Linked DNA regions of Caenorhabditis elegans. The protein of the gene in region 2 interacts with the protein of the main gene of each other region in a pairwise test. Each region holds a gene or a part of one and is shown on either strand. Other genes may lie near its edges. The genes, in order: atz-1, meg-4, klc-1 and R07B7.2.

What was found.
Region 1: the proteins of meg-4 (region 2) and atz-1 interact in a two-hybrid assay, tested with the Caenorhabditis elegans proteins (3 studies listed by BioGRID).
Region 3: the proteins of meg-4 (region 2) and klc-1 interact in a two-hybrid assay, tested with the Caenorhabditis elegans proteins (3 studies listed by BioGRID).
Region 4: the proteins of meg-4 (region 2) and R07B7.2 interact in a two-hybrid assay, tested with the Caenorhabditis elegans proteins (2 studies listed by BioGRID).

What each region holds. Positions count from the first base shown.
Region 1 is NC_003282.8:12,372,543-12,379,226, forward strand, and holds atz-1 (Protein atz-1), read right to left. Parts: upstream 3,580-6,684; 5' UTR 3,512-3,579; coding exon 3,216-3,511; intron 3,165-3,215; coding exon 3,087-3,164; intron 2,736-3,086; coding exon 2,303-2,735; 3' UTR 2,139-2,302; downstream 1-2,138. Other genes in the region: wdr-46 (WD repeat-containing protein 46), read left to right, coding at 1-93, 141-406, 673-1,456, 1,826-2,137. UniProt on the Caenorhabditis elegans protein: Plays a role in meiosis, germline development and oocyte morphogenesis. May play a role in DNA replication.
Region 2 is NC_003284.9:1,679,864-1,688,676, forward strand, and holds meg-4 (J domain-containing protein), read left to right. Parts: upstream 1-3,090; 5' UTR 3,091-3,092; coding exon 3,093-3,150; intron 3,151-3,196; coding exon 3,197-4,667; intron 4,668-4,715; coding exon 4,716-4,799; intron 4,800-4,847; coding exon 4,848-4,994; intron 4,995-5,042; coding exon 5,043-5,177; intron 5,178-5,692; coding exon 5,693-5,970; intron 5,971-6,019; coding exon 6,020-6,345; 3' UTR 6,346-6,556; downstream 6,557-8,813. Other genes in the region: C36C9.11 (Transposase), read left to right, coding at 7,677-7,715, 7,767-7,819, 8,158-8,194.
Region 3 is NC_003282.8:11,081,860-11,089,207, reverse strand, and holds klc-1 (Kinesin light chain), read right to left. Parts: upstream 5,474-7,348; coding exon 5,437-5,473; intron 5,104-5,436; coding exon 4,963-5,103; intron 4,920-4,962; coding exon 4,603-4,919; intron 4,560-4,602; coding exon 4,469-4,559; intron 4,422-4,468; coding exon 3,629-4,421; intron 3,581-3,628; coding exon 3,349-3,580; downstream 1-3,348. Other genes in the region: bcc-1 (SAM domain-containing protein), read left to right, coding at 1-19, 70-158, 864-978, 1,029-1,151, 1,206-1,332, 1,397-1,550, 2,184-2,370, 2,417-2,561 and 3 more; let-70 (Ubiquitin-conjugating enzyme E2 2), read left to right, coding at 7,001-7,024, 7,073-7,246, 7,294-7,348.
Region 4 is NC_003283.11:12,054,494-12,062,947, forward strand, and holds R07B7.2 (PUM-HD domain-containing protein), read right to left. Parts: upstream 5,257-8,454; 5' UTR 5,255-5,256; coding exon 4,720-5,254; intron 4,575-4,719; coding exon 4,440-4,574; intron 4,374-4,439; coding exon 4,275-4,373; intron 4,227-4,274; coding exon 4,038-4,226; intron 3,615-4,037; coding exon 3,477-3,614; intron 3,408-3,476; coding exon 3,306-3,407; intron 3,256-3,305; coding exon 3,034-3,255; intron 2,993-3,033; coding exon 2,807-2,992; intron 2,654-2,806; coding exon 2,447-2,653; intron 2,390-2,446; coding exon 2,286-2,389; 3' UTR 2,069-2,285; downstream 1-2,068. Other genes in the region: F10C2.7 (Major facilitator superfamily (MFS) profile domain-containing protein), read left to right, coding at 57-200, 247-842, 1,569-1,827; clh-6 (Chloride channel protein), read right to left, coding at 6,010-6,108, 6,156-6,339, 6,447-6,719, 6,768-7,203, 7,249-8,038, 8,085-8,278, 8,325-8,454.

The DNA.
Region 1 (6,684 bases), on a different chromosome or scaffold from region 2:
AAGCTTCAACAGGAAAAAATGAAAGTGACGAAGGACAAGTTTCAGAGAAGAATTGAAGCTACCGCTAAAGCCGAGAAACGTCTTGTTGAAAATGTGAGTTGTTCCATTGCTACTCAAATATTCACAAAATATAATTTCAGACCGGATTCGTAGCCCCCGACGAGGAGGATCACTCGCTGACCTACAGCATCCGACAGAAAGATATCGCTGAATCAGTTGATTTGGCTGCAGCCACAAAACATTTCGAGTTGAAATTGCCACGATTCGGACCATATCACATTGATTATACGGATAATGGAAGGCATTTAGTGATTGGAGGACGAAAAGGACATTTGGCAGCACTTGATTGGCAAACCAAGCATCTTCATTTTGAGCAAAGTGTGATGGAGAAGGTTTCCGATGTGAAGTAGGTTATGGCGTCCAAATTTCTAAAACTGTTTTACGCTGAGACCTCTTTTTTTCGCTGATTGAAGTGCTTTTTTGTGCCTATAAGTCACACAATACCACCGAATTTGGGCAAAATGCACCTCAATCAACTTAATAAAAGCGTATTTTGTTAAAAGGAAATTTTCAAGATGATTTTGTAAAAAATTCGGTAGCTTTAGAACATATGGATGCTAATTACACGTTTAATTACATTTGTTAAACATTAATAACAACGATTAATTTCAGATTTCTTCATACGGAAAACTTCATCGCAGTCGCCCAAAAAAACTATACTTATGTATACGACAACTTGGGTACAGAACTTCATTGCCTGAAAACCATGTACGACACAGCTCGCCTCGAATTTCTTCCCCATCATTTTCTGCTCGTCGGCTCTTCGCGAAATTCGTTCCTTAACTACGTGGATGTGTCTGTTGGAAAACAAGTTGCCTCGTTTGCAACGAAATCTGGAACTCTTGATGTGATGTGTCAGAATCCGGCAAATGCCATTATTCACACTGGACACACAAATGGAACCGTGTCCTTGTGGTCTCCCAACTCAAAAGAACCACTTGTCAAGATTTTGACTCATTTGAGCGCAGTCAAAGGAATTGCTGTTGATGATCAGGGAAATTATATGGCGACCACGGGTCTCGACAGGAAATGTCGTATTTGGGATGTTCGAATGTTCCGTCAACTTCATGCATATTCACTACCATTTGGAGTGTCGAACGTGGCAATTTCTCAAAAAATGAACGTTGCCTGTGCAGTTGGAAACCATGTACAAGTGTTCCGTGGAATGCATAATGGGACGTGTAAAGAGCCGTATTTGGTGCACAATTGTGGAGGTGTGGTCACTGATTTACGATTTGTTCCATGGGAAGATGTGCTCGGAATTGGACACGCAGGCGGATTCACGAGTATGTTGGTGCCAGGGGCAGGAGATCCGAACGTTGATACGCTCAGATCTAATCCGTACGAAACGAAATCACAGAGAAAGGAAAGAGAAATCAAACAATTGTTGGATAAGGTATGGAATTTATTTTATTCGATTTTGATATTTGAAGTCTGGATGTCAAAAACTCTATTTTTTATGATTTTATCATGAAAATCGAAAGCACCTCACCAATAAAAAAGAAACCTTTAAAAAATTTTCTCCAAAAAAATCTTGATTTCTCTATATTTCATGAAAACTTTAGTTACAAAATTATGTTCAATCTCGAAAAAAATGAGATTTTTTTTGAAAATTTATTTCAGACTACTTGGTTCTAAATTTCACAAAAGTTTTCCACGGAAAATTCGGAGTTTTCTTATACTACAGCAATTTAGAAGACCCTTCTTTGGCAAGCGAAAAAAATTTTTGCAAAAATTGTAATGCTAACTAAATTCTAATTTTCAGATTCAACCGGAGCTCATCAGTCTTAACCCAGACGACATTAACAAGGTCAATGAGGGACTTCTCGAGTTGGAAGAGGAAGAACGAAAGAAGATTCTCTACATTCGTCCGATGGCTGTTCAATATACGCCACGTCACAAGATGCGCAGCAAGAAGAGTGGTTGGAAGATGGAGGCTCGTAAGAATATTGTCAAGGATCAGATTCGAATGGAACGGAATATGGAGAAACATGCGGTGGAGAAGGAAGTTTTTGAAGCACCGGAAGTGGATGACGAGGCTCCGAAAAAGAAACACATTCTGGATCGTCTCAAATAGAAGGATAATCAATTTTATTTTTTGTTGTTGTTGATTTTGCGTTATTTTCGTTTTGTTTTTACTGAATTTTTGAAATTATTTCTTTAAAAGATTTGACATTTGGAAATTTATGAAACGAAGGAAAAAACAAACAGTAAAATAAAAAAGTAGAAACTAGTATGTATTTTATTCGTAATCTTCCTCTTCTCCCTCCTCATCATACTCTTCCTCATCCTCAAAGTCTTCTTCAACCTCGTAGTTCTCCTCCTCTTCATAATCTTCTTCCCCTTCCTCTTCTTTCATAAGATCGTCATTCTTCTTCTGAAGATCCGCAATGATCTTCTTCTGGGCTTCCAACTGCCCCGTCGTCTCGATCATCATCGCCTGGATCTTCAACGTGAGCGCCTCTTCGAATCGATGCTTGTCCTCCAGCTCTTCAAGCCGTTTCATATAGACTTCAGTGAGCTTGTTCGCATCGTCGACCTGTTTCGTGAGGCTCTCGATGGCCATCGTCTTTTTCTTGGATTCTCTAGCAGCACTGTCCAATGCATTAATCGTCAATCTCAAAACACCCTCTGGTGGAATACCAGTTTTCGCTGCTGGCATCAAATTTTTGATTCTGAAAAGTGTTACTTTTTGCATTTGTGCTTGTTATTATGGGGACGCAAAAAATGGTTTTTTGAAATCATCAAGGCACAAGCGCGCTCCAATGATGGGTCTCATTAGGTATTGGCAGGAAACTCGTAAATTCAAACGTTTTTGTTGTTATTATCGATTTTAATGTCGAAATGGTCTTTAAAGATGCATTTGAATAAGGGTTTCTCGTGTATTTTACATGATTTGTTTCGACATAGAAATAGTGGAAAAACTCTTGAAAAAATTTGAATTTCTGATTTTGCCTTCGCCAATACCTAACGAGACCCAACTTTAGAGGCGTTGCGTTTTAACTTGGGTAGGCTCCGAAACTCACCGTTTTTCATTCTCAGGATCTGTGCTCTCACCAAGGTTAGCCACAAGTAATTCGATTCTCAAGAATGTCTGATATGACCTGAAAAAATAATTCGATAAATTTTAGGAACTCAAATTCTTAAAAACTCACTCATCAATTTTCGCATCCCTTTTCTGCTGTGCTTCCCTCAAAAGTTTCTCCAATCGACCAATTTCCTCATTTGCTACTTGTTTTCCTTCTTTCGTCTCCTTTTCAAGATCCGAAATTCTTTCCGTGGCAACTCTCAATTTCTCACTCAAACATTCCACATATTCGACATTCGAATCAGTCTTCTTCGCATCGAAAAGCTCTTTTCGTTGCTCCAAAAACTTTTCAGTGAGCACTTTGAATTGCAAGTTCTTCGCGGCAAGCTCGGTTTGCACATTGCGGAGTTCGATCGAAGCCATTATTTGAATATTACAGACAGAAAAAGGGTGACAACCAGTCGATAGGGACCTGTGCGAGTGAAATGAGACAAGAAGAGGAGCACTGCTAATAGATGGTATCTACCGTAGCAGTTGACCTTTCCAAGAGGTAGACACGTCATCATTGTCTGACATACTATGTTTGCTCTCTCTCTCTCTCTCTATATGGTCTCGAAGGGAAGGAGATTAGGTCATAGGAGACGTTTATTGGAATGAAACACTTCATTAAAAAGGGTAATTAGTGAACTAGATGAGCTAAATGCATATTCAAATTTGTAAAAGGCCACCTAAAATGTTATGCATTGTCAAGAGAAATGGCAGTACTACCTAAACTGTGGCTGTGAAAATTATCTGGATTAATTTTTTGAAACCTAAAGAACGGTCATTGATAGTCAGAACTTTAGTTAATATATTTTTCTTGCATTTTTACATTTTTTGGGTAAAAAAAGGTGTCATGTTCAAAGTTTCCATTAGTTTTCAATATCTGAAGCTCTTTTTACCAAACGTTGAATCAAAAATAGGTGACAGACATTATTCCAATTTCAATTACCAACTTGTATTCTAGGCATTTTCTTTCTGCTACAAACTTTCTGCAACACTTTTTTTTGTGAATATTAACCAAAAAGTTGGCATGACAGACGCCGAATTAAATAGTTGATTGGTCAGATAACTGTATCTTTTTTCTCATGTTATCAGTGAAGCAAGAATCAAAAACTTTCAATAAACCGAAAATAGTTCATTCGAAAAAAAAATTATCTAGAAATTTCAGTTAAGTTTTTGGTAAAAAATTCAAAAATTCAACAAAATTGAACGGTATACGACGAAGGTTTCAAGCACACGAACATTGTTGAGTTGTCAAATGGATAAGTGTATGCACCTGGACATGCATTCTTGAACATCTTCGTTGTAGAGCTCATTGTGCATTTATCTGGAGAATCATACTCCCCACGGCAGCATTCCTTATCAGTTCCATATCCAAGACATCCAGATTTACACCCAACAGTGTAACCTGAACTACTCTTCACTGCAAGTTCTGTAGGGCATGCAGCATTTACATCAGAGATGCATCCACCGGCTCTTTGACATCCCAACCCATCAATTAACATTGGGAGATTGTAACCATCGATTAGATTAACTGCATAAAAGTCTCTTCCAGCCCAAGATTTCAAATTGAATTCTGCGACAGATGCGGGTGGAGTTCCTGTCCTTCCATTGCATTGTTCTGCGTTCTGGAAAAAGTGTAAAACTCTCAAACCTTTTTCATTTTTTTTCAAGACTTCGGGTATTCCCAATTTCGGATGTTTTGAAACTTATTCAGTATATGCGTGTGAATTCTGCGAAACGTTTGAAACTTCCTGTCAACATTTACTGTTGAGAAGCTTGCCCAAAGTTTGGCAGAAAGTAGCAAAAATTTGGCAAAAAGATTATATAGTTTCGACGACCGTAAAACGTGCCCAGAGTTTGACAGAAAAAAGACCAAAAATTTGCCCGAAAATGAAAATGTATTTTGGTAATAGATTTTGGAATATTCATCAAAAAAAAAATGATGTACGTCCTTGACAATTCACGACTTTCAGATATTCTAGAACATCTAAAGTACTTTTTCGTATTTCCCTTTTACACAATTTTTTGGCTGAACTTAAAAAATTGTTCAAAATGTTTTGATCAAATATCCCCAAGTGTTTATTTGTTTCAAAACTTCCATAGAAACTTATACTTTCAAAATGATACACTGTTAAAGTATAGATCTATAGACTTCAAAAAAGTTACATTCAAACTACGGAAAACTCACCAAACAAGTTCCAGTCTCACAATTGAAATCTCCATCACATCCAGTCCGTGCCCAAATCTTTCCATTTCTCCAATCATCATCCACATTTAAATACTTTGCCGCCCACGCATCTATTATTATAGACTACGATTGTCCGGCTGTTCACAGTGAGGAGCAGAGATATAAGTAGAATCCAGATGGAAATCATCTGAAATTTTAAATAATTGCTGATCGATTATGTTTATAAAAATTGTTTGCAAAAATATTCGTAAAAGACTACTGTAGTCAACTTCCCGTAATGTAAAGTGTCTTCCTTACATACTTTCCTTTCCGATAACAAAAGTTTGTCCAATTTTGAACCAACTGTAGCATTGTTCCTTAAATACTCCTCTAGCTGATCTAAAGACCAATCGAGTTCGCACCGCCCGTTTATTTTCAATTGAACATTTCCTGCAGAAACTCCACTGCTTTCTGTACCCATCGCATTTTTCTCAATTCATGGAGTTGATTCCATTTCTGATTACCTTCTGATTGGGACAAATTCGTTATCAGTGAACAGTTCAAAATGAAAGTAAATACGAAATGAGAAGATTATAAAGATTTTTAAAAAGAATTCACCGGAAATGGGCAGAAGAAAACCACGTGGATCGATCAAACGGAAGGTTTCCAACAACTGTTTGTTGGAACATTTTGGATCTAGAGGTCAGATACACTACTGCTACCGCAAAACTCTAATTTGATGACCCAATCTTAGGCGTTTCCTATTTTTAGGTTAACCAATGATTTATGTTTGCAAATAATTTTCCTAACAAATTTTTTTCGGTGCCATGAAATTTCCGTTTAAAAAATTTTATGGATTCCTTTACTCATTTAAACTTCCATACATGTGTAAAAAATTAAAAATATATTATGCAATCGTTTGAAATAGGAAACGGTCAGATTTTGACTTTTGTATGGCAGGTATTCTCCAGAAATTACATTTGCAGTCAATTGATACCGCTCTTCCACATGTTGAATGAAATATGTGATTCCATCTTTGTTCGGAGTTTGTGTTCATTCAGAGATCGCTTTTCCTCGCTTTCGATATGTATGTAGATGTGACTAAAAAAACTTAAATTCAGAATTTCAGAAGTATTCGCTCCCGGAATTCAAACTTTAACATAAATTGAACTCAAACTTGCTCTCTCAAAACATAAAACATTTTTGGTATCAAATTGTGGCTCTAGAACTTTTTAACACTTCTTTCCAGGCGCTTGTTATCTATCACGAGAAGCAATACTGAAACCACAAATCAATTTTATTGATAACAAAACGAGAGTCGTCCAATTTTTGTATGTTCTAGGAAAAGTGCATCTGAAAATAATAGTCTATGGAATTGTAATTT
Region 2 (8,813 bases):
CAATTTTTTTTTTTGTTTGTTTTAAGTTCAAATTCCACTCGGATTTCAATGGTTACTTAACTGTTATTTTACGTTCTCGGTGAAAACATTGTAAATGAGAAGCAAGAATGAGATACCATTGAATGAAAAACAAAAAATTAAAACAAAAAAGTGAGCAATAAGTGTTGTATATTTACGTATCATGATAAAAAATTCAAAAAAATTTTCTAGATTTTATATGATTTTTTTGAAAATTGCAAAAATCTCAGTTTTCCCCTAATTCCTATTTGAATTTCCGCCAATTGAATTCGTTCGCTGGAGCACACTTGCATTATTTTTATTAATTTATTATATTGTTTCTCATTATTTCACTGATTTTCTTCATTCTTTGTGTATTTTTATCGGAAAAAGAGAGAAAAATTCAAGATAAATGCAAATTATTTATTTAAAAATCACTGAAAATGGGTAAAACTGTAAAATTATGAGTTCCGACGATAGCAAGCCTGAAATTAGCTTATTTCACAGTTTCACCCATTCTCAGTTATTTTTAAATAAATAATTTGCATTTATCTTCTCTCTTGTTTTCCGATAAAAATACACAAAGAATGAAGAAAATCAGTGTAATAATGAGAAAAAATAAAATAAATTAATAAAAATAATGCAAGTGCGCTCCAGCGAACGAATTCATTCGGCGGAAATTCGAATAGGAATTAGAGGAAAACTGAGATTTTTGCAATTTTCAAAAAATCATATGAAATCTAGAAAATTTTTTATCATGATATTCGGTCATTGTGGTAACATAGGCGTGTTTTAAAACAATTTCCCCATTTCGAATTTGAACTCATTATAAATACTTGCTTGGCAGTTTGGGAATTTTGGTTACAACGCATATAGAGACTTTGGAAAAGTCTCAATATTTTATAAGAAAAGCCACTCTAGAGAGATCAATTGAAAATAAAAAATAAAAAAGATCCTTTGTATGCTGCTTGCAGCTTCTCCGGCGATCGATTTCATATAATTCATTAGTGACTAGGGGTGGCAAGAGTGCGACCTAGGTCGCTAGGTCGCTGTTTTCATTTAGGTCGCATTGCGACCTGCGACCTAGCGACCTGCGACCTAGCGATCTGGGTTGCATTGCGACCTGCGACCTAGCGACCTGGGTCGCATTGCGACCTGCGACCTAGCGACCTAGGTCGCATTGCGACCTGAATTACCGACATTTTGTTCTCTTTCGGTTTTGATTCACTTGAGTTGTTAAAATCCGTATAACTCGAAAACTGCATTGCGACCTGAATTACCGACAATTTTTATACTAACAAATTGCTACAAATCATTTATTTTACATTGTTTTCGATTTCTCATCCATAAGACACCTTGTCGAAAAAAGTTAGAACAGCCGACATCCGCCGGATTTGCTGCTTTTTTCTACGTTTTTAATTCGAAAAGTGGAAAATGAAATTTTAGAAACAACAAAAACCACAAAAACGTGAACTTTTTGAAAAAATTTGCTGAAATGCATGGTTTTATTTGTAGAAATGAATTCTTTGTTCCGTACTTTTGAAAAAAAACTACGCATAAACTTATAAAATCTTAATAGAGAAAATGTTAGTGGAATATATCATACATATTCTGCAATCTTTAGTTTTCGAGTTATACGGATTTTAACAACTCAAGTGAATCAAAACCGAAAGAGAACAAAATGTCGGTAATTCAGGTCGCGATGCGACCTAGGTCGCTAGGTCGCAGGTCGCAAAGCGACCCAGGTCGCTAGGTCGCAGGTCGCAAAGCGACCCAGGTCGCTAGGTCGCAGGTCGCAATGCGACCTAGGTCGCGATGCGACCTAACCCTCTAGGTCGCAGGTCGACCTAGGTCGACCTATAGCCACCCCTATTAGTGACTCATGCTTCCGGGGGGTGCATGGCTCAGTGCCTATGCGCGCTGCTTGCAATCACAAGGTCACAAGTTCGACCCCCACCTCCTAGGTCCTTCCAGCCTTAAATGGGAATTCAGTGTTCGTTCCACTGTCTTACAGCTTACATACGGCATTTATCCAGGCAAGACCTGTAGAAAAAAACCAAAAAAAAAAAAAAAAAAAAATTTTGCCACGTGGGGCAACCTGGCAGTATTTAATGATTTCATTTTGGTATTGAAACATGAGACAGTCTAGAAAATTAATTGGCAGAAGTTATCGACCACAGTCCTCAAGATTTTCATTTGATCCCACGTGGCAAACTGTTTGAGTTTTCTTCATTTTTTCTTTGTGTCATAATTTGAAATTTTACTTGCCACATTTTCAGACATTTTTCCGTAAAGAAAATTGGCTGCTCACTTGGAAACGCTGAAATTAGTCTAAAAATCGATAATTCAGTATTAATTTTAACTTACTTTACTGAAACATTACTGAAAAATGTATGAAACTGTGAAAAATTAAAGTTTTAAGTTTTAAATCAAAGAAAATATTAAGAAAAATGTCAAAGATCAGGTCAATAATTTGCGCTGGAATTGAAAAATAATTCGGCCCTTTTTTTTTGCAAAATTGAAAAAAATCATAAAATTTCAAAGAAAATGTTCGGAATTTTTTTACAGTTTTATTCGATATTTACATTGAAACTCTATTTTGTCATTAAGGTACAAAAAACCCACAAACGCTACTCCACCTTTAAACTAACAAGTACACGGAACCAAAGATTTTTCCTTATTTTTCTTCTTCTCGTGTTTTATTCAGTGATTATCTTTCCGGTCACCAATATTCCAGAGAATTAACTATCAATATCCGACTTTTTACTCAACTGTTCCTCAAACCTCCAATACTCTTGAAAAACAGCCGGTACCATACAAACGTTTTGTGTTGTTTTGGTAATACCCCTGCCGCATTTTAACTGTGTTTTTGCCGCGCGCATGCATTCCCCTGACCGTTTCCCCACACACTATTTCGCGCTCTCTTTCTCTACCTCTCTCACTCTCTCACTTCTCGCACTCACTCACTCACAGGTCTCCATTCTTGCTTTTTGGTCCCACCGGTTTTCATTAATTCCTCTCTCCCTCATTATTTTCTTTACATTTTTACATTTTTACATTTTGTAATATTTCATTAAGTTTTTTTTGTTGCAGGTATGAGTTCTTCAAAGCTTTCCTCATGTGATCTGCCAAACTCCAGAGGAAACAGAGAAGGTAAGCATTTTTTAAATCAATTTTTTTCTTCAATTTGTAATTTCAGGTCACCGCTCTCATAGTCGAAGCAATTTGGAAAGTGCATCGAAAAATATGGGACACCACATTAGTATTGAAGAATTGTTTTATTCGTTCGTAAAGCAAGACGGTGTTCAGTCAACAAGCCGTGGATATGGTGGCAGATCTCACCACGGATCCGTGTCTTTTAACGGGAATCCTTCCATGAACGGCGACCAGTTGAATCACTCGATTAATCAATCGATGAATGCAGCTCGAGCTAACAGAAACGTCTTCAACTCATCGAGCATTCCTCCAACGGCCCCCGTGTTCTCTGCAGACTTCCGTCAAAACTCGCAGACACGCAATAACTCCAGCTGGAATCAACGGAACTTGTCAGTTTCCACTTATCAGTACAACACTCAGCAGTCAAATACAGGGCACAGTAGAAGCCGTCCGAATGGACAACTTGGCCGAAGCTTCTCGGATGGATCGAACAATCATGGCCATGCTGGGAATGTGTCATTCAGTGGGAGTTCCGTTCCAGCTGGGTTCCAGAAACAAGAAACCAAGGCTTACCAACAACTTCATGGAAATAAAAGCTTCAACGCTCAAGCTGGAGTTCAAGCTCCTGGAGATCACAAGGACAAGAGATATGGAGGCATGTTTGGAAATGAGCTTATCAATTCGATCAATTCTAGTTTTGGCCAACAGCATGATGTCTTCAAGCCGCGGAATTTGAACCAGAGCTTTTCCGGATTTACTATTAATGAAGCTTTAACAAGGAAGCATCATCAAGAAGGATCAAGAAACGATAGAAGAAGATCACATGGGAGCACTAATGTCCAGGATCGTGCTTTCTACAACACAGATGACAATGAACTGTCTGACGACGTGTTCATAGAAGATTCCAATGGTGTTGCAAACGGTCCAAAATCTGTCACTAACAAATCTCAACAACAGTCTCGCGGAACGAAGGATGCTGGCAGTCAAGTGGCGGAGAAACTGAACTCTTCCAGAGGAGCTGCTCAACGTAATCTGAAATCCAATGTGTTCAGCAAGGACGGCACCGAACTTTCTGTGGAACAGTTACTGGAAATTGTCAGCATGAAGATCGGACAACACTTGCACTCAGCTTCCAGTTCTCACGGAGAATGCAGCAATTTGAATCGGACATTACCAGCTAGAAGTGATCTAAATTGCTCAATTGGTGAAGACTTCGACTCCAGTTTTCTGGATGTAAACAATCGAACCCTGCCAGAAAATCTTTCGAAGAAAACTTCAGTGCAGAAACATCGTCGTGGAAGTTCTCGTAGTGCGTCCCGTCTCGCCAGTCTTGACGTGACGCTGGAGACTGTAGAAGAAGATGTCGAACCCACACCAAGTCCACATCCGAGTTCTCCTCCAAAGATCTCAAGAAGAAAGTGGACAGGAACTTTTGATGCCAACGTTGAGGAAATGAGACGTTTACTTCATGGGGACCCTGGGAAGCCGAAATCTACAAAACGTGCTTTCTCAAGGTATGTAGTGATAAAAAGTGAAGTATTTAGTAAAAGTTTGAATTTCAGCAAGGATCAGAGAACACCTTCCTTGTCAATCATCACAAGCCCGAAGGCTTTGATCGGAGAAAAATGTCTGACAGCATCCAACAAGTTAGTTTTACACTTGGAGCTGCTTTTTTCATTATGTTTGTATTGCAGGTCTTCAAAGATTGACAAGTCACTTGGCATGATTGATTCGAAACTCACAAAGTCACCAATGTACTCCGCCACGGTTTCTGGGAAGGAAGCAACTTCAGGAAACCGAATCGCTCGAAAGTTGACTCCAGGGCTTGATGGACTGAAAAGGTATGGAACTACAAAGAACAAACAACATTTTTAAATGTTCTTTTCCAGCTCTCATTGTACCGGAAATCCAGTTTCCATAGATTGTAATGGTTGCCCAACTCCGAAAAGAAGTGGAATCAATTGTGATAATCGTATGGCTGAAGTGAACAACCAAGCCGGGAGATGGTCCTCTGAAGCCACCAGGTAAGGCCCAAATCAATAAATTCGCAATGAGTTTCGTATTATATAAATTTCTGAATTCTCAAAAAATCGTGGATCAAACATATGGAAAATAATGTGCAAGTTGAGTAGATTGAGGTCAAGACTAGACCTCTCGAGTAAAAAAATAGAGCATTAATCTTGCACAACTCCGCAAAAAGCCCTCTGCTTTTGTCTATTGCCCAGAAGGTGTGCGGCAAATTTGTACGGTTTTGCCGAAACAACTTTGCCGAATTAGCCTAATTTGCCGTTTGCCGAGCTCAGACAATTTTGATCAAAGCTATGGATTTTGTCGCCAAAAATTTAGTAGTGCTCGGCAACTTTTGAGATTTTCCACACATCCCTGGAGCCCAGTCTAATCACTTGATATTATAATTACTAAACGGTGAATTGCGAGCCCGCTAATAAATTTAATTTCCTCAGAATATATAAATTTTTGCCGCACAGCTTGATTCGATTTCTGTAACATACTTTCCAAGTACAATTAATTTTTTTTTCAGTCAGCCTGCCCCACTCCCTTGCAAGTCAGCCAACCCGACCGAAGATTCTTCTCAAGATGCACCTCCAACTTCACCACCACCTCGTATTTCTGATAGCTTGACGGCATTCCTGGAAGCTCAACAAGACTTCAATGATTATATTGATGCTCACTACAAAGAGAAGACACAACTCTTGAAAGTGAATTTGAATATTCACGGGATGTCACCTGAAAGATGGCTGTACTTGAATTATTTTTGCACCGAGACAATTCCAAGATTGGATGGTCCTTATGCCGATGGTAAGAAAGATAAGACATATTTAATCTTGAAAAACGTAAATTTTTTCAGATCCAAGGGTTCCACCTGTGCGAAATATATTCAGAAGATGGTTTCTCCGGTTTGCTGAAGCCTGCTTAGGAAATCCAAATGACCTTGCAGTTCAGAAAGATATTGCTCTCGAGTTCGTTCAGGCTCGGCTTGACGATACGAGCAGCTCCACAGATTCCACCAATATGCTCTACATGTTGTGGAAGGAGTGTATCGGACAGAAGAATATCATCTCAATTGCTGATGCGTGTCTCCTTGTATATCTTCGGAAATCGGATCCTGTCAGATACTTGAATGCAAAACGAGAATGGCTGGAATCTATTTTTGACCCACCCAGAGATCAATGATTGTACTGATATATATCTATTTCATGTCGAGTATTTTGTATTTTATTCTTGTTCATTGACCTTTTAACCACTCTTTTTATACTCCAACTTGCTCCTTCTTGTGAATTTATTTATGGTCTGCCCAGGAACTTGTAACGGGTAGTTTTCTATTGTTATCAGGACTGCTGCTCATTCAAAATTCAAAGTTGAATTTCAATAAAGCGAATGTTTGAAATAGGTATATAATTGGCAACTGATTAGTAGAAATATGTCTCTTCTTTGGCTTTTTGTAAAAGTTAGGCAAAAAAGTGGTCACGGATTCAATTTCAAAAGCGATGCTTCAGACTTATCCGCTACGATAGCGAAGGTTCCGTTTGTACTGAAAAACACAGTAGAGGAAATTGGTATAGGCGCGTATAAATAGAATTCTAGTAGTTGACTCTGAAATATAAAAAGTTATTAACAATCCAAATTGGCAATTACTGATTATAAGGATAGGAATGTTAAGTTTTCTTAATACTACTAGATACTACCCTCTACATTTTTATTGATAGGCATGCCTACTTGCCTGCCTAACTTCATTTGAAGGTCTTCTCTTTGAACGTCCACTTGCGCCATTTCCCGCCTTAAACTTGTTGTGTTTTCCTTGGATGGCTATTTGACTAGCGATTTCAGCTTTCAAGAATGAAAACAATGTTAAGTGCTGGCCTTAGATATCCAGTGTTTCCTGTGAAATTTCATTTCAGTGGCAGCATGCCAGACCAAATCCAAAAAAACCAAAGGGGAAATTGTTAAAAACTACTCCTATGATCCCAAAATGACAAATTATCATAGTCAAAATTTTCTAGAATATCGCTTACATCCGAAGCCTAAGCCTACGCCAAGGCCTAAGCCAAATCATAGGCCTACGCATAGGCCTAAGCCTAAGCCTGATGAAATAAAACAGTATAGTTTCATTTAAATGAAACACCAGAACCATCAAAAACACTTGATTTTTTTTCAAATTTTTTTTAAACTAAAATATTTTTAAAGTTCGAAGGAAAACTGTTTAGCATCTTTTTCTTTTTGTGTGTCACTCTACATTAATATAAAATTTTATTGCAGTCCGCTACACACTTTTTCATTGTTTTTGTTTCTCTGCTCCTCTACTTTCTTATCAAAATTTTTTCCCGGAGGTATCATTTGGTCTTCCTGCGGCGGCTTGTGTGGCTGGCACCACCATTTTTTTCTGGATTAAAACAAATTAAAAAAATTTATGTATTGTATGTGTGGTGAGTTTTAAAGTTATATTAGTTTCAAGAAGCTAATTTTCATTACTTTCAGAAATTTAATTTCTGCTATCCGCACCCCGAATGTCTACAAAAAATCTTCTGACTCAAGATGGTAAATTGGTGAGTTTTTGTATCAAAAAAGTTTCGAAAACCTTCAGAAATTAATTTCAGAGTAAGAATCGGCAAGTCGAGGAGAAAAATATCTTTAATGCAAATCCCACATTGTAAGTGCTTTTCTCGAAAATCTATAATAACATGGAATAAGGTTATGGAATAATGTATACATTAGATACATAGTAGCGTCCTATAAAAATACCAAACTGCCAAAAAATATTAAAAATTTTGAAACTTCGGTCTAATTAAAAGATATCAAGCAGATAAACGCTTAAGATTAGCCCAAAACTGAAACATTTCAATTTTGAACAATCGTTAGCTAATTAAAAACTACAAGCATTAAACCGACTCCAAAATACCATTAAAAAAGCTCACGAGAATTGCGCCAGTAGCCTTCTTGGATCATTTCCAAGTAGGAGCCTATGTCATAATAATACTATATTTTCAGAGTGAATAAAATTGTCTGCGACCTCGAATCATTCTGAGACTTTTGCGAAGTCAACAAGGACATGAACATTTATGATAATTTCGACGGAATGGCATTTGACTGATAATTGTTTATATAACTGTTTCATTTTTCATATCCTTTATTATATTTCCCCTCCCCCCTTTATTCAATGTTCCCATTTTTCAACTATTCCTTTACTTTCCACTTTCTGAATTTCTTGTTTCATGTTTCAAATCCCGATTCTCATTGCCTAATCCCACAAGTTTTAAAATAAACTTGTCACAATAATAAACCCCCAAACAGTATTCAATTCTCGCTGCTCTCGTGCTATTCTTGTGCTATTCTTGGATTTTCTGAATCCAACACGTTTCAGGTCTTTTGGTCTGCTGTTCTGTTCAAAAACAGTTTGAAGCAATCTCTATTATTACGGTACACTCATTCTAGGACTCATTGGTAGTGAAGTTCTTGAGGGAAACGACACCCAACTAGTGATAGCCGCCCCAGTTATTTTGTCGAAATGGAGTAAATATTTAGAGCCAAGTTTTCCAGATTTAAGTAATTTTACCAAGATGTTTAGATAAAATCATTAGAAATCCTAAAAACCGAAAGATTTGTGAATTGCAATTTTCTCTATTGTACTCTAGAGCTTTGGAGCT
Region 3 (7,348 bases), on a different chromosome or scaffold from region 2:
TTTACATCACTTTTTATTAGTGAGTTTATGAATTCTCAAGAAGTATCTTATAACTTTAATTTATTTCAGACAGAAGAATATTTGAACATTTCCACTCAAGTTTTGGCCAGAGAAGAACTGAATTATCAATTGGAGAATGTAGAGGAGCATCGGGAAAGGTAAATCTTTTTTGAAATTACTTATTTACAGGAAAAAATGTGGTGGGAAATTTTCAAAGAAAGAATGTGAGGTTTTTAAGTAGGCAAAAAAAATTCCAACTTGCCTACTTTACATTTTGATTTTGTGCACAGAAATAAATAAGTTAATTAATAAAATAAATATGCAATCGTTTTTTATGTTTTGGAAACCCACATACTTGCTATTTAAAAAAGTTTGCCATGAAGTTTCAAAATTTGGCAAAATTCGGTAAAATGGCAAGTTTTCAAAACTTTATTTTTACGGAATTTTTAGAATTTCGAAATTTCTTAATTTCGGAAAATTTAATATCAAAGTTTCAAAAATTCTAAATTTTGGGAAATTTTGAATTTTCAGAAAGTGGTGGATTTTTTTGGATTTTGGAACATTCAGAAAACTTGGAATAAAAAATGTCCAAAAGTTCTGAAAGTTCCACAATTTAAAAGTTATGGGGTTTTAGAAATTCTCGAATTTTTTACTTAATTTTGGCAATTTTGAACACCTGAAAATTTTGGAATTTTGGAATTTGGAAGTTTTTGAAGTTTTTTTGGACTGCGTTTACCCAGGGGATTATTTCAAAAATTGACCAGTTAAATAGTTAACAACAATTTTAAGCTTTTGAGAACTGAATCAAATAAATTTATACTTGCGAACAAATTTGTACCAATATCAAATATTTTTGATTTCAGGCTCCGAGAAGTGTGCAACAAGAACAACGTGACCATTCAAACATTTCCAGAAACACAATCAATTTCCATTGTTGGTCCTCCATCGGGAGTATTAAATGTTAGAAAATTACTAATTGTAAGAGAATTTATTTCAAAAATTGTAGATAACTTTAGAAAATTTTGAAGGGTCTTTCAAGTGTGACAGTTCAATTTGATTGTAATATGATGGATATTCATTATCCAGTTCAACAATTGGAACAAGAAAGAGGAATACAAGTTACGTGTAAACGAAAAAACGGGGATATTATGGTGATTAATGGATTATGGTGATTACAATTTTGGAAATCAAATTGAATATTTCAGACCATAACAATGAAATCAACAGAATCAAAATTAGCAGAAGTTCTTCAATCTCGTGAATTACTGTTAGCTCTACCACCAACAACATATTCATCTCCTGATGATTATGATCCGAATCCTGTGATGAGCAGTTAGTTCACTTGAAACATTTTTGAGAACATAAACATATGTTTAATTTTTATAATAAATTGCAGGACCACCTAGTTTAACACCTTTGCAAACTGAAATGGCATCTGGAGTACGAGTATTTTTGACTCCGCCCATTGAATCTCCAAAATCTCCAGATCCAGAGGACTCTCCGCTCGCGGCTTCGATTTTGAAAGGAGCAAAGGATATTAGCAAAAATAGGTAAGGAAAATCTGAAGGTTACGGGCGGCAAACTACTTTTGACTTTTTAAAAAATGTTTTTAATTCGGCCAATTCTATTAGTAAGAACATAGAAAAAGAAAAAATGCAAAAAAAAAATCACTTCAAAAAGGCCTTTACTTTTTAACTTTTAAGATTTTTTGGTACTTTACACATATTGCATTTAAGGGACATTATCTCTACCATAAGACCGTATCTTGGTTTTTCTGCTTTTCTCGGCATAGTTTGGTTTTTCTGTTTTTTTGTCACAATATTGTCTGGGGGAAAATTGTTTGAAACAGCTTCTTTTCAGCTCAAATTTCCAAATATCAATATAAAACGTATGCTGCAATGCTCGACATTTCTCACAAAGTTCATAATTTTGGAAAGTTTGGTAACTTACCAAAACTTTAAATAAGTTTTTATGACAAATCTAAAAAATGTTGTAGTGATTTATTATGATATTCTGTTATTTTGAAGTAGGAAAACAATATGTAGATTTATTCCCCACGGACGATACTTCAAATTTAAAAGGCAAATATTACACAAGTGATAGGATGTAATTAACTTAATTGAATTAAGACTAACTTCGACATTCGACCAACCAAGAAAACCAAGAAAAATCTAAATTTTCAGCGATATTTGGAAAAAGAAATCGAAAGCCGATCGAGGAGAAATGCTTATAAAAGCAACGCAGGCAATTTTTGATGATTCAGTTCTATCAAGTCCAAGATATCCAACTGATTTATGGTCAGGTTATGGTTTTAGTTCTTCTCTTCCAGCTGATTTACTTAAAGGAATGATGGATTTATCAACTAATGAAGTAAGTATGAAATAATAAGTTGCATAATTTGATCAAATACTTGTAGCCATCCACAAATGGTCCTCCAATGATGAATCATTCACAACGGGGACTTTGTAGTGTACGAGAAGAAGATGAAGAGCTCTCTGATTTTTCAGCTTCATCCACTAATTATGGAATGTCTAGAATCTTTGAACAACCACCTAGAAATGGTTTGAATTCTCAAGGGTTTTAAAGTTTTATTTTCAAAAGTTGAAGTGTTCTCTGCATCAACGTCGGTTTTCGATTCGAACTCACTTCCATATAATCTACAATGGGATATTAATTATTTCACGGATCCTTCCATGGTTCTTGCACAACTTGGATGCAGTGAATACATGACTCAGTTGAGAGATCAGGAAGTTTGTTTCATGCACATTTGAATAAAAGTATTTTATAATTTTTAGATCGACATGCATGCTTTTTTGCTGCTCGACGAGCAGAATCTGAAGGACATTGGAGTTTCCACAATTGGTGCCCGCAAAAAGATTCATCACGCAATTTTGAGTTCGTTTTCTTTTCTCTGCCTAGTATGAGCAGAAAAATAACAAAATGAGCGTTATAATATTTCCATGGCAACTTTTCCAGAGCTCCGCGACTCGGCTCGACTTAACGGATATGCAGTCTAGTCTATATTTTCGACGATTCAATAATTTTCGGGGTGAAATCTCACCGGTTTTCCTAATAAATCCATGATTTGCTGTTTTTTCAACTAATTCTTAAACAATAATGAACTTTTCTTTTTCACATAGAATACGAATTGGACTTTAAAGACAATACTTTATTCAAAGCGTACAGTTCCATTAGCTCTCCATGAAAAACAACTCTATATTTAACTCATCAATTATTTAATACGAATTAATTTACCATACATAAATATCAAAAATAAGGCTTTGAGTATGCGACATGGAAAACGTAAAGAGGGGATCGGCAACTAAATTATCACGAAAAGATGTGAAATCAGAAATTTAATCCGACAAAATGCATGATTCTCTTTTTGATCCCACTTTGAGCAGGATTAATAGCTACGGCGCTTGAAGTTTCAACACTTGAGGCAGTAGAATTAGTGTGATCTGCTCCTCCGTTGATTTGTTTTTTCGCACCTAAAGCTTCTTCCAGCGTCCCTGCAGCTTCCTCTTTTCCTTGCTTACGATAAACTGCTGCCAAATTCTTTATAGTTGACATCACATTGCTGAAACATAACAATGTAATCATTAATAAACTAATTAAAGGCAATAACCTATCCATCACAGTTGTCGGGTTCACATTAAAGGATTCATCGTCAACCTTCGGAATCCCATTTCGCTGTCTTTCTTCGCGATCTTCAGCGATTCTCCATATTGGTTTGTTTCCGGTGATAGCAACTTTCGAGAGAATGTTCTTGTACATCTCTTCAGCCTCTTGATACTTTCCTTGCTTTAAGAAAACAGACGCCAGTTGGTTTTTTGTCTTAATCACATTTTGATGATTTTCCGGAAATGCACGATTATAGATTGACAGAGCTTGTTTGAAATAGTTTTCTGTTTCTTCATACTTTTCAAGCTGTTGGGTGACAATTCCGAGGTTTGTGAGCTGTTTAGCAACATCCGGATGATTGGGTCCTAGAAGATTTTTCCGAATTTCGAGAGCTCGTTTGCACAAAGGCTCAGACTCCTTGTACTTTCCGCGTTTTCCATAAGCGATTGCCAAGTTGTTTAGCGTTGCCGCCACAGAATGATGGTTCTCTCCACAACATTGTACACGAATGGATAAAGCTTTTTCCAAATAGATCGCAGCATCTTTGAAATTTTCTTGATTTCGGTAAACTATTGCCAGAACATTGAGCATCGTAGCAACATCCAGATGAACATTCCCGTGAACTTTCACGACGTCTTCCAGAGCTTGCTTGCATAGCGGTATCGCAACTTCAAATCGACCTTGCTCCATGTACTGTATGACCAGGTTTTGTAACGTTTGCAGGCGAGTCGGTAATTGGTAATCGTTACTGATAGGATTGGAAAAAGACGATGAGCGACATCCCTGATCGGCTTGATCTGCAAGATAAAACAAGCATAATTCGTAGCACAACAAATAAACTTACTGTTGTTCTGATCCTCTTCCTCTGGTCCGAATCCAAGTTCCTGTAGAGTGTCTACCATCATGGGCGTGGCATCGACGGAGGTAGTGTGTTGCTAAACGCGTTATTTAATCCCAATCACAAGATAAATGACTTACAAAATCACTGTTCAGGTAATTCATGGAATCTTGAAACTTGTAGTGATCCCTTTCTTCCTCCAAATGCGCGACAGTCCTCTCCGATTCTTGAAGCTTCCTCTGTGTGGTTGTCAATTCATCAAGAAGCCAGGTGTTTTCCTGTCTCAGAAGCCTAATACTTTCATGGTTTTTTGACAGTTGAACATCGTATGATTGCATCAATTTGTCCATCATGATGAGCAGAGATGCTTCATCACCACCATCCATAACTTTCCCAAGACTTTCATCAATCAAGCCCATCTTTTCACTGGGCAAAGAAGGTTCGGATGAGTCTGAATCTGATAGAAACTTTATTCGTACTCATTCCGTAAATCGTCTTACTAATTAAATTAGCTTCCAATATCCTTGTTGCAGCCTCGTGTTCATCTCGCAATGCAAACAACGTTTGTTGGACCGTCTTTAAGACAGTTGTGATATCGTCACCCAAGGAAATAACCATCACTGTTAGAGGAATGAGAAGCCCTGAAAATTGTCTCGTACGGATGATGAACGTTAATTTTTCTTAAATTTAAGAACAATAAAAACAATAAAAACAAATCACAAAACAAAACCAAATTTATGAAATTTAATTTCATGAAAATGAAATATTTCAATGCGTTGAATTCAATTGAACAAAAAGACGACGAGATAGATGTGCAGGTGTGCCGACTACGGTAGCACGAGATCCAGCAGCCTGACAATCGGCGGGTTTTCGAACAACTGTTTTCAAGTTTGCACAACAATTTCTCGTAATTTAATGTGAATTTTCGATTATTTTAATGTTTTCTAAAAAATTTTTGTTGTTTTTATTAATACCTTCAACGTAATATGGGATAGACAAGCAGTATGCCATTTAAAAATATTTTTTGATTGGAAGAGCTTTCCATATCTCTTGGCGCCATTTCGAACGCGGCAAAATACAGATTGTGAAACAAGGGCGGTCCATCATTCTTACTCATTTTCTTCTAATTTCTTCAGTTTCTTTTCAGTTCGTTTGCGATGTTCCTTATTTTTCTTCCTGCTCCAACTTCTGTAGTTCGTTCTGTTGTACTTGTTTCCAATTTTTTAAAGGTTTTCCTCGCTGAATTCGTATTTTAAAAATAACTTCAACTCCACATGTGAGTAGTGATTAGGGAATTTAGTGCTCGATCAATAATTTGAACAACATTTTTGCAAAACTTATTTCTCAAAATTAAAGTCACTTCCGAAGTATGATTTGGCCTATTTTATACCTCTTTGTTTTCGTTGTCCCACGTGACTCATATAGCACGAAATAAGAAAACACACTCAAGTTCATTCGTCCTAAAATTTTATAAATTCCGCGTTCAAATTTCAGTCATCTAGTAACCATCAGAAAAGTGCAAGTTCACTCACGTCCACACTGAATTGAATCAGTGGAATCACATGATCAACTGCTTCTCTCACTCTCTCGCTTTGTCATTAGATATCTCTACCTCTCTGCGTTTCGTGTCTAAGTGCTTATAGTTTCACTTCTCTCCGCTTTCAATCCCCATTGCGATGCGACTGCAGCATTGCAGTGAGTGTGATGGTCGTCTCAAGACCCATGGCGCTGCGTATCGATCGTTGCCTCGTACCCTCTTACGTTTCCTGTGTTATTTCTGTCTCTGTCGTTCTGACACTTCAGCGCTCACCCCGTCGCTCATTTTCACTCACAGACAGCACACATTCTCACTCACTCGCAGCCTATGGCCATTTCTTCCTTCCTCACCATCTCGTGAGGCGACAAGTCGCGTGTCTTTAGTCGATTTCAGAGTGATTATCTGGAAATCATTTGTTTCAATCAGAAAATAATACGTACATGCCGAATAGTTTTTTAAAAAACTAACCAGACAATTTGTGATACGTCTTGAATTTTAATTTTTGCCCAGTCTCGATTCATTGTGAAGAAAATTTTACAAGATTTGAATCGCTTGCTTTTTGTGCGTAATATTCCAGTCCATTTCTTTTAAGCGTTAAAATTTTTTTCGAGTGTCACTGGCTTGTAGCCGTAAAAATGTGTCATATTTGTCATCATTTCTCATCGTTAGTTATTTTATTAGGAAATTTCCGAAATTTATGTTATTTTGGTTTTCAAATTTATATCTGTTCTATTTTTCCTCATTTTTCGCTTTCTAGAATGTTCCACTAGTTTCGAAATGTGACGTAACAGTTCACCACGAAGGGCAAACTGAGTACTTTGTACCGCCTCTAAATATCGATTTTTCGCCGCGCCGCGCCGTACTCTTTATGTTATTTCATGCGAAAATCCTCACTTTCAATTTTTCCCTATAGCAGAAGCTCAATTTCACCGTATTTATCGAAATTTATTTTCAGAGTACTCCGGGTGTAGCCGGGTCAATCAGCAAATCAGAACACCAACATGGCTCTCAAAAGAATCCAGAAGGTAAGGTTTCAACACTTAACAACAATAAAATTATTATGTACGTTTCAGGAACTCCAAGATCTCGGCCGTGATCCACCCGCACAATGCTCCGCTGGACCAGTTGGTGATGATTTGTTCCATTGGCAAGCTACGATTATGGGCCCACCAGAGTCTCCCTATCAGGGAGGTGTCTTCTTCCTCACTATCCACTTCCCAACAGACTATCCATTCAAACCACCAAAGGTATTGATCGAAATTGGAAAAAAATAAATTTAATTTGTTTTCTTCAGGTTGCCTTCACCACTCGAATTTATCATCCGAACATCAATTCAAACGGAAGCATCT
Region 4 (8,454 bases), on a different chromosome or scaffold from region 2:
GGTCATGCTGGACTATTGAAATTGAAGTTTTATAAAAATTTCATTAATTTTTTCAGGGTCTTGCTTATTCCGCCGACTTTGCAGCTATTGGAATTGTATGTGTCCGATGGGCTCCACTTGCTCAAACCGGACTCTTTATTTCAATTCTAACAAGTTTCAGCCCAGCAGCCACAGTGATGACAAATGCCGCATCTGGCTGGGTAACTGGACATGAAGATAATCTCTAGACTGTTTTGTTTCTTTCAGTTGTGTAAATCGTCATATGGATGGCAGTCTGCATTCTATGTTCACGCAGCTGCTGGTTTTATCATTTTTGCTGCATGGCTCTATTTTTATAATGATGATCCACAATTGAACCAAAAAGTGTCAGCAAAAGAGTTGACAACTATTCAAAAAGATAAAACAAAAGCACATATTGAGAGGGATTCGTTTGTTCCGTATTGGGAAATTTGCAAGAATCGAGTTATTTTGACTGTTTGGATCAACTCTTTCTTTGAAATGACTACTTTGATTCTTCTATTGACCTATTCTCCTATATATTTCCGTAAAGTCCTTGACTTTAGTGTTGTCGAAACTGGAATGTTGATATCCTTGTCGGCAGTAGCTCATATGCCAGCTAAACTCTTATCTGGATGGTTATCAGATCGTCAATTCCTTTCTGAACGTGTTCGAATGTGGTTCTTCAATACTTCATCAGTCGGACTTGCTGGATTCATGTGTGTCAGTTTGGCATATATTCCTGTCTCATGGAAGTATACAAGTGTTATTATGTTCAGTATTGTCTACACTTTGATGGGAACAAATTGTGGTGGATTTTATAAATGTGGAACATTTGCGTCACGGTAAGCTTTGATTTTGTTTCACCCCAACCGTACTCATACCATGATCGTAGTGATTTTTTGAATGACAAAAGTGGGTTTAATTTCAAAACTTAAAATTTTAACTGTACAAAAATTGTTTCCTTAACGTTTTCCTACATATTTGTAACTTTAGAATACTCTACCAAAATTAGGACAAATGATTTCGCGGTCGAAGTATTACGAGTTTTCTCTTCAACCGCATGTGGTGTCAGAGGGTCCCATATCGGCTTGATCTAGGTCTACGAAAATTTCGGTATTAAAAAGCAGACTTCTAAACTGATTCCGCATGATTAGAAGCGTGCTGACGTTTCAAGTAAATGAGCACGCTAGTAAATGAGGGTTTGCCCGTGAAATTTTATTGGAAAATGAATTCCCGCATTTTTTGTAGATCAATCCGTAATGAGACATCCTGTAATCACTGCAAATGGATGACAGAATCTTTAGAAAATGCCAAATAACTTTTATTTGAATATAATAAGGGTTGAAACCTGTGAAATTGCTTTGGATTTTTTCAAAAGCTCTTTTTTATTTTGGTAATTTTCCAAAACTAGGAAATTTGGTAATTCTGAGTATTTTGAGTGCATTCAGACAAAATCCTAAGTGGTGATACTCCAACTGTGTCCAAATCCAAAAATTTAAACACTGAAAATTATGAATTCACTGTAAATTATTCTGAAAACCATGCAATTATCCATAAACAAATTTCAGTCAATATGCTCACTTTGTGCTTGCGATGATTCAATTTATGAAATGTATTGCCTTATTTGCTGCTCCAGCAACAGTTGCCATATTTGTATCAGATGAATCATCTCATACTCAATGGGGTCATGTATATATTCTCAATGGTTTACTTATGTTTATTGCCAATATTTTATTCTTTCCAATGGCAACTGATAAACCACAATCATTCACATTTGTCACACGAGAGACGATTGAAGAAGAGAAAAAGAAACATCAATTTGCTTGATTAATTCGAAAAAAGAATTAAATATTACGGTTATGTATATAGATTAATGTCGAAATTAAATTTATATTCCGAACATTTCACCCAATAAACAATTGTTCTTCGTTCAATTTACTTTCTGATTTCTAATACAAACGCAGCACCAGTAACCCAACACTTCCCCCATTCCCACTCAATGTCCCTTGAAGACGCTGAAACTTACATTCAATAATTCCACTGAACACCTAGACTACTTTGGACGACAGAGCTTGAAAAAAACTTTATTATGAGAAAAAAACTTAAAAAAAACAAGAGAAACCATAGAAAATGGAGAAGGAACATTAGGTTTCCAGACATCTGGCAATAAAAAGGGAAACATTAATGAGATTTGAGAAATCGCGTTTTTAAATCGGTGAAACAATGGGCAACGAATGATGAACAAAAAACAATAAAGTTTACTATTACCTATTCAAAAATTAAATCTACTTTTTACTGGGAGCCTTATAGAAGTCTTTTGACCACCTTTTTGCACGACGAGTATCGCCTCCTTGTTCGGCGTTCCATTCCGCTTCGTAGCGCGCTGGAGCTGAAAAACGTAGTTAATTTATAAAGGTTATTTACATAAATTCGAAATCAATAATACCTTTTCTTGTCCTCTTTGATGAAGTAGGTTCTTTATCAATTGTAGAAGAAGGAGTTTTTGAATTTTTCTTGGTCGTCTCATTCCTTGAATTTTTGCGAGATGAGCCCGGTGGAGATTGTGATGGTTCGAGTCGTGCTCTTTTCATACCGGTGGAAATGGCAACAGAAGATCCATATCTTGAGCGCGAGGTATGTGGAGATGTGTCATCTGAAAAATAGAAATAAAATAATATAGAAATAACTTGGCGCATCAGGACTGAGCGACAAACGACGAATTCCGTTCGCCGAAAAAGCCAGATCCCACACATCCCTGGTGTACATTGTGTAACCTATATTTAAACAACTGGTGTTCGATCCTCACCGGTTTCAGATGCGCTTGGCATTGGAGACTCGTTTCTATTTTCAGTTATAGAAATCGCTGATATTATGGATCCGAAATCTTCCACTGGTGTCTCATTTCGCACATCTTGATTATTGATTTCCTCTGTTTCTCGAGCAATCGAATTGACTCCAGATACAGCTTGGTTGACGGATCCAACATCTGTTACTGTTATATTATGTTATGTTATGTTAGGTCGTAATTTATACTTTTATTACCGATGATCGCATCGACAGTATTCTCGATTTCAAGATCAGCCTCAAGCCTTTCGGTTTCTTCGGGAACGATTTGGTTTTCATTAACATTGACTTCTGGCTGAGAAATCGGCGCTGCAGAAGGGATATCGGCAAATGAAGGATTTACATTCGCCGAATTTTGATTTTGTGCATTTTGATACATCATTGCATGATTCCGTTGTTGCTCCCACGCCGCTGAAATTGTAACATATACCTTTACTATAAGTTGCAGAAATTGAGCGAACCGTATTGAGAGTGTAGAAGCATCTGCTGCTGCATAAAAACATCATATGGCGGCATGAACGGAGATTCAAAAAAAGAAGATGGAGCCGCGGAGTTATTCATATCTAAAACGTGTAATTTCTCATAAGTAGTTTAATTGACTATAATTAGAGGTAGTCAAAATTTATACTCACGAGATGGCATCATTCCTGGATGCCAACTCATCATGCCAGCCGCAGGTTGACCGAATGGGCGAATGAAATGATTATTTTGCCAATCGGGTCCCTGTCCTCCCGAGGAATTCGGCATTGATGGAAACATCCCTCCGACCCCTGAAAATTAATTAATTACTATCATTTACTAATATATATATATATATAAAGCGCTTATTCCGTTTGTCCATAGTTTGTAGTCTATGTAGTCTTTGTAGTCTGCGAAATTTTAGCTTCTGGAGGGATAGTGAGTTGAGGTTAGTGTAAGGATATAGTCGGGTTACTGTAGTGGTACAATAGTGATACGGTAGGAGTACTGCATGATTACGGTAGTTTCAGAAACATTAGTTTTTAGCTCCAAGAGGTCGGGAGCCGCGCCGGAGGTGCGGTCCACGGCTGGTCAATTCATAAAATTATTGAATTCACTGATTTCTGGTGGCAGTGGAAGACAAATTTTGAATTTCTTCATTGTCTGTTAGAATAAGTTTAGCCGAACACGAAACTGAACAGAGCCAAGTGCATTTTTAATATAAAATATTTCACCTCCAAACAAATTTCTAGCATTATGTGGTTGCTGAGCCCCTCGCATGTCTTCAGCCTGATTTCCTTCTTCTTGGGGAACAGGAAATTGGGACCGTTGTTGCTGTGAAGACATACTTCCGAGCAAGCCAGATGATGAACGAGCAAAATGCGAAGATCCATCATGTCGAGTTGGGAATGATGAGCATCGCTCTGAAGTTACTTTTTTAAACGAGAAGCAAAGTTGATGGTCTGACTTACGAGAATTGATCATTTCAGGGAAATGACTTTCCATTGTTTCTTGACTTGCTGGTGGATTAACCTGTGAATGAATTGACTGCATGCTGTTTGAGTTTGTTTCTGTAAATTACTACTCTCAAAATAATTGATTTATTTTATATTAGTAAGCTCTATTGCCAATTATACCTTCTCTCTGTTCCGTTTGATGAAGTCTCGAATGGAAAAACGATTGAGAATCGGCATCATTGAGACTGGTCTCATTAATTCCAATTTGTTGCGAAGCTTGTGGCATTTCAGTTTGTTCGAGATCCTCTTGACGAGCTTAAATTTAATTTTATGATGAGTATTAGAAATATTTTCAATATTTTGCGGACATATACAAGAGATGTTCCTATTTTCAATGTATGCACCTGAGCGTAGGACGAATTAAAATATGGGAAAAAGTTCGAATATTAAAGTGGGTTACCTTCAGAATTTTGCAACGGATGACTCGGCGGCACAGGCGCGGATTGCTGATCTGGTGGAGGAAGCAACTGGAGTTGTTCAGGTTGCTGGAGATAAATTGGAAATGCTGTCCGAGCTTTGATGGGCCGGCGAGCTTGAAGATGTTCCAAAAGTGAATTTGCCAATTTTTCGATTAAACAAGATTCTGAATTTGTACCGGCGATATTGGTTGCATGACAAGTTTGTGTTGTTCTGTTCGCCGTTGAACAAATGGCTTCCACCTCCTTATCCTTTGTTTGAACCTCGTATTGGCTTGAAGTTTCCACAGCCGTGATAATTTCTGATTGGACATATTGATCTCTTGTTGGAGCGTGATGTTGGCTCCAGGCATCAGCAACGTCGACTTCAGATTGTACTCCTTGATCTTTTGCGAACGTACTTTGATTTGCATAAATATCGGAAAGTGAGGAAAAAGGCACACGTGTTGATCCAAACAAGTTCCCAAAACTGCGACGTCGTCCAGTTTGTTCTGTGTTATCACCGTCAGAAGCACTCATCTGAAGCGTTATAATGATTATTAATTTATTAAAAATCAAATGAGGGTTTGTGAAATGGTTTCATACAAAATTCCAAACAAAAATGTTCCTAAAAACTAATTTAGAAAATAATTTTCGTTTGGCGAATTATTTACAACGGATATGACGCAACTCTGCGTACTTTTACCTCGGCTACAGTAACCCATTTCGTTTTTCAAAACATATTTAAATACACAAAAGTCCTGGTCTGTTTTCCTGCATTAGTTCGCATCATAATTTAGGTATTGTAGAGTTTACGAATGCGATCTTTGGCTCAATAATACCTAAATTTTGAAAAAAGTTTACTTTCAACCCTTTTTAAAAATTATATTGTGTTTCTGTACATCCTAATTACCGATGCTCCTTTATAAAATTATAATTGTCTATAAAATCATAATGGTATTATTTCACGCCTTCTAGAGAGTATAATTAATGAAATTAAATACCGGAAAACACATTAGACAAACGTACCGATTAAGATTTATCACAGAATAAAATTGTTAAGAAAGTGTCTATGACATGAACAGAAAATTTCAAAATAAGTTCACATTTTGCAACGTAGTGTTGCGATTTATTTTTTCAAACGAAATTTCAGTTTTTCAGTTTATTTCCCAAAAGAGACCAAACGACATCTTGCTAAACGCAAACATATTTTTTAAACTCTCTGTGCATTTCCATGACTTAAAAAACACGTTTTCAAAATGGCAATGGTAGAACATGAAAGAGAATAAGAACATTTAAGATTCAGAAATATAAAGTTCATCAACATGATACTCGCGGTTTCGGCGTCTTTCACGGAATCTGGCAACATCTTTTCTAGTAATCACACCACGAAGCTGAAAAACAATACTAAAAAATAAATTTGGATAATGTTCGTCCTCACATGATTATCATCGTTCACCACAAAAAGGTATCGAAGTCCAAGTCCACGGAAAAGTCGGAAAATGAATGGAAGAGATGTGTTCAGTGGAACACGGTGCGGATGAGGATGCATGTAGGGCTCAATGTCCAGGAAACATGACTCGTCGAAATTTGTTAATCCGAGTTCAGCAACAGATTTCATTTGGCTGAAAATAAAATATATAACAATTGAATTATAATATTTTCGTAGTATGTTGAATACCAAACAATTTCTGTTTTAAAATTCGTATTTTATTCAATATAAATCACTTACTCGTCGTCATCCTGGCATTCATAAAAATCATTTGGAAGTGCAGAGTTTGAAGCTCCTTCTTCCTCGAAAATTCGATTTTCCAGAAGTTTGAACAGTTGTGATCGCAGAATATAACCTTTCAGGCGTCCATAATCAGGGAGTGATTCGTATGGCGATTCTTCGATTCTATCTACTACTGGAAAGCCATGATGAAGTGTGGAACGAAGAATTTCAACGATTCTGGATACTCTTTCTCGCCGTTCTAGAGCCACAACATCTTTTCGCATCACGCGGCTGAAAATTAAAAAAAGATTTTCGAATTGTTACAACAAAAAAACCAACTCTGCCAAAATGTTTCTGCTCATCTTTGGTGGATTCCAACCAAGAATTGGAACTTCTGCTAAATCAATATGAGCATCATAAAGTCCTTCATTGAACATATCTCCAACCCATTTTGTTACCATCAACACCAACATAATAGGTAATCCAAATGTAATATCTTTAGTTGCTTCCATTATAATAGCTGTTAATGAAATTGTCATTCGAACAACGCCTCCGAGTTGTGCGGCAGCTCCTGCCAATGCGTATTTTCCTGGATCAATTCCAGTAACCGAAGGGAAAAGTCGTTCAACAAAAATTCCAAACAGGCGGCCCCATGCTGCACCAGTAAGAATAGCTGGAATGAAGACACCAGAAGGTACAGAGATTCCGAACGTCCAGAGAGTGAGCAAGAAATATTCAATTCCAAAAATAACAAGAGTTGTGACACCAAAAGAATCTGAAAATATTTGGATCTTAAATGTTTTTGAAAGATCAAACTTACTTATCGGACTATGAAACATACTCTTCACACTTTCTTCAGGATTTTGAAAAAATAAAGAAGCTACTGCAGAATATTCTCCTTTTTTGCACCACATTTGATTGATTTGTGTTGATGTTGCTGTAGGATTCGCTCCTATCGGCTGACAATCGTCAATTGCGAATATTGTGAGGAAAGCAAGAAATCCTGATACCGCGGCAACAAGAAGACATTCGAACAAACGACCCAGTTTGCTGCTCACATATTTTTTACGGAACTCGGTGAGTTTTGTATTTAAATAATTGAATAAAGCTCCAAGACAGCCTCCAATTATTCCAATGAGAAGAAACAAAGGAATTTCCCAAATATTATAATCCTTATTTTCGAAAACTCCGAAATTCGCGAGACCTGTCCATGAGAGCCATCCACTACGTCCATTGAACCAACTGAGAATCCAATTTACAGTGAATGAAGAGATCATTGCAGAGAAAAACATTCTCCATGTCAAAGCTTGATTCCAAAAGCTTGCTCCTTCTTCTAAAGAGAATAGAACTCCTCCGATTGGTGCTCCGAAAGCAGCAGCAACTCCAGCAGCAGCACCAGCAGAAACGAAATCTCTTTTTTCTCGATCATTTCTAAACTCGCGGAAAAGTCCGAAATCGATTCCAAGGGAATAACTTTTTCCCTGTGATATCCCAGCTCCTACAGCAGCTCCAGAATGGATCATAGGACCTTCTTTTCCAGCACAAAGACCACCGCCAACCGAACATGCAACTCCAACTGCTTTTGAAACGAGCGTTTTGAGACGAACAACCTGGAAAAAACGAAAGTTTCAGAAATTTTTGAGCTGGAAATGACACCTCAGGAATCGCAATTCCGTTAAGATAACACTTTATTTGAGGAATTCCAGAACCTCCAGCAATCGGAGCTACATAAATCACAAGGATTGCAGCTATAGTTACGAGAACACAATTATATCCTATCCAAGCTATCATTACGGTCCACATACACCCTGCAGTCGTTCCACGTTGCTCTTCGCCACACTTTGAGAGCACTGAATGTTTCGTTTTCAATAGATTAGTTAGATAAGTATAACTGACAATATTTGAGAATCCAGTTAAATTTGATATCTTTACTGTAGTGTACCATAATATCAATAAATGCAGCGACGAGTCCAGTGAAAACTCCAATCAAAAAGCATACAAACCAACGATTTCGAGAAATTCGCCA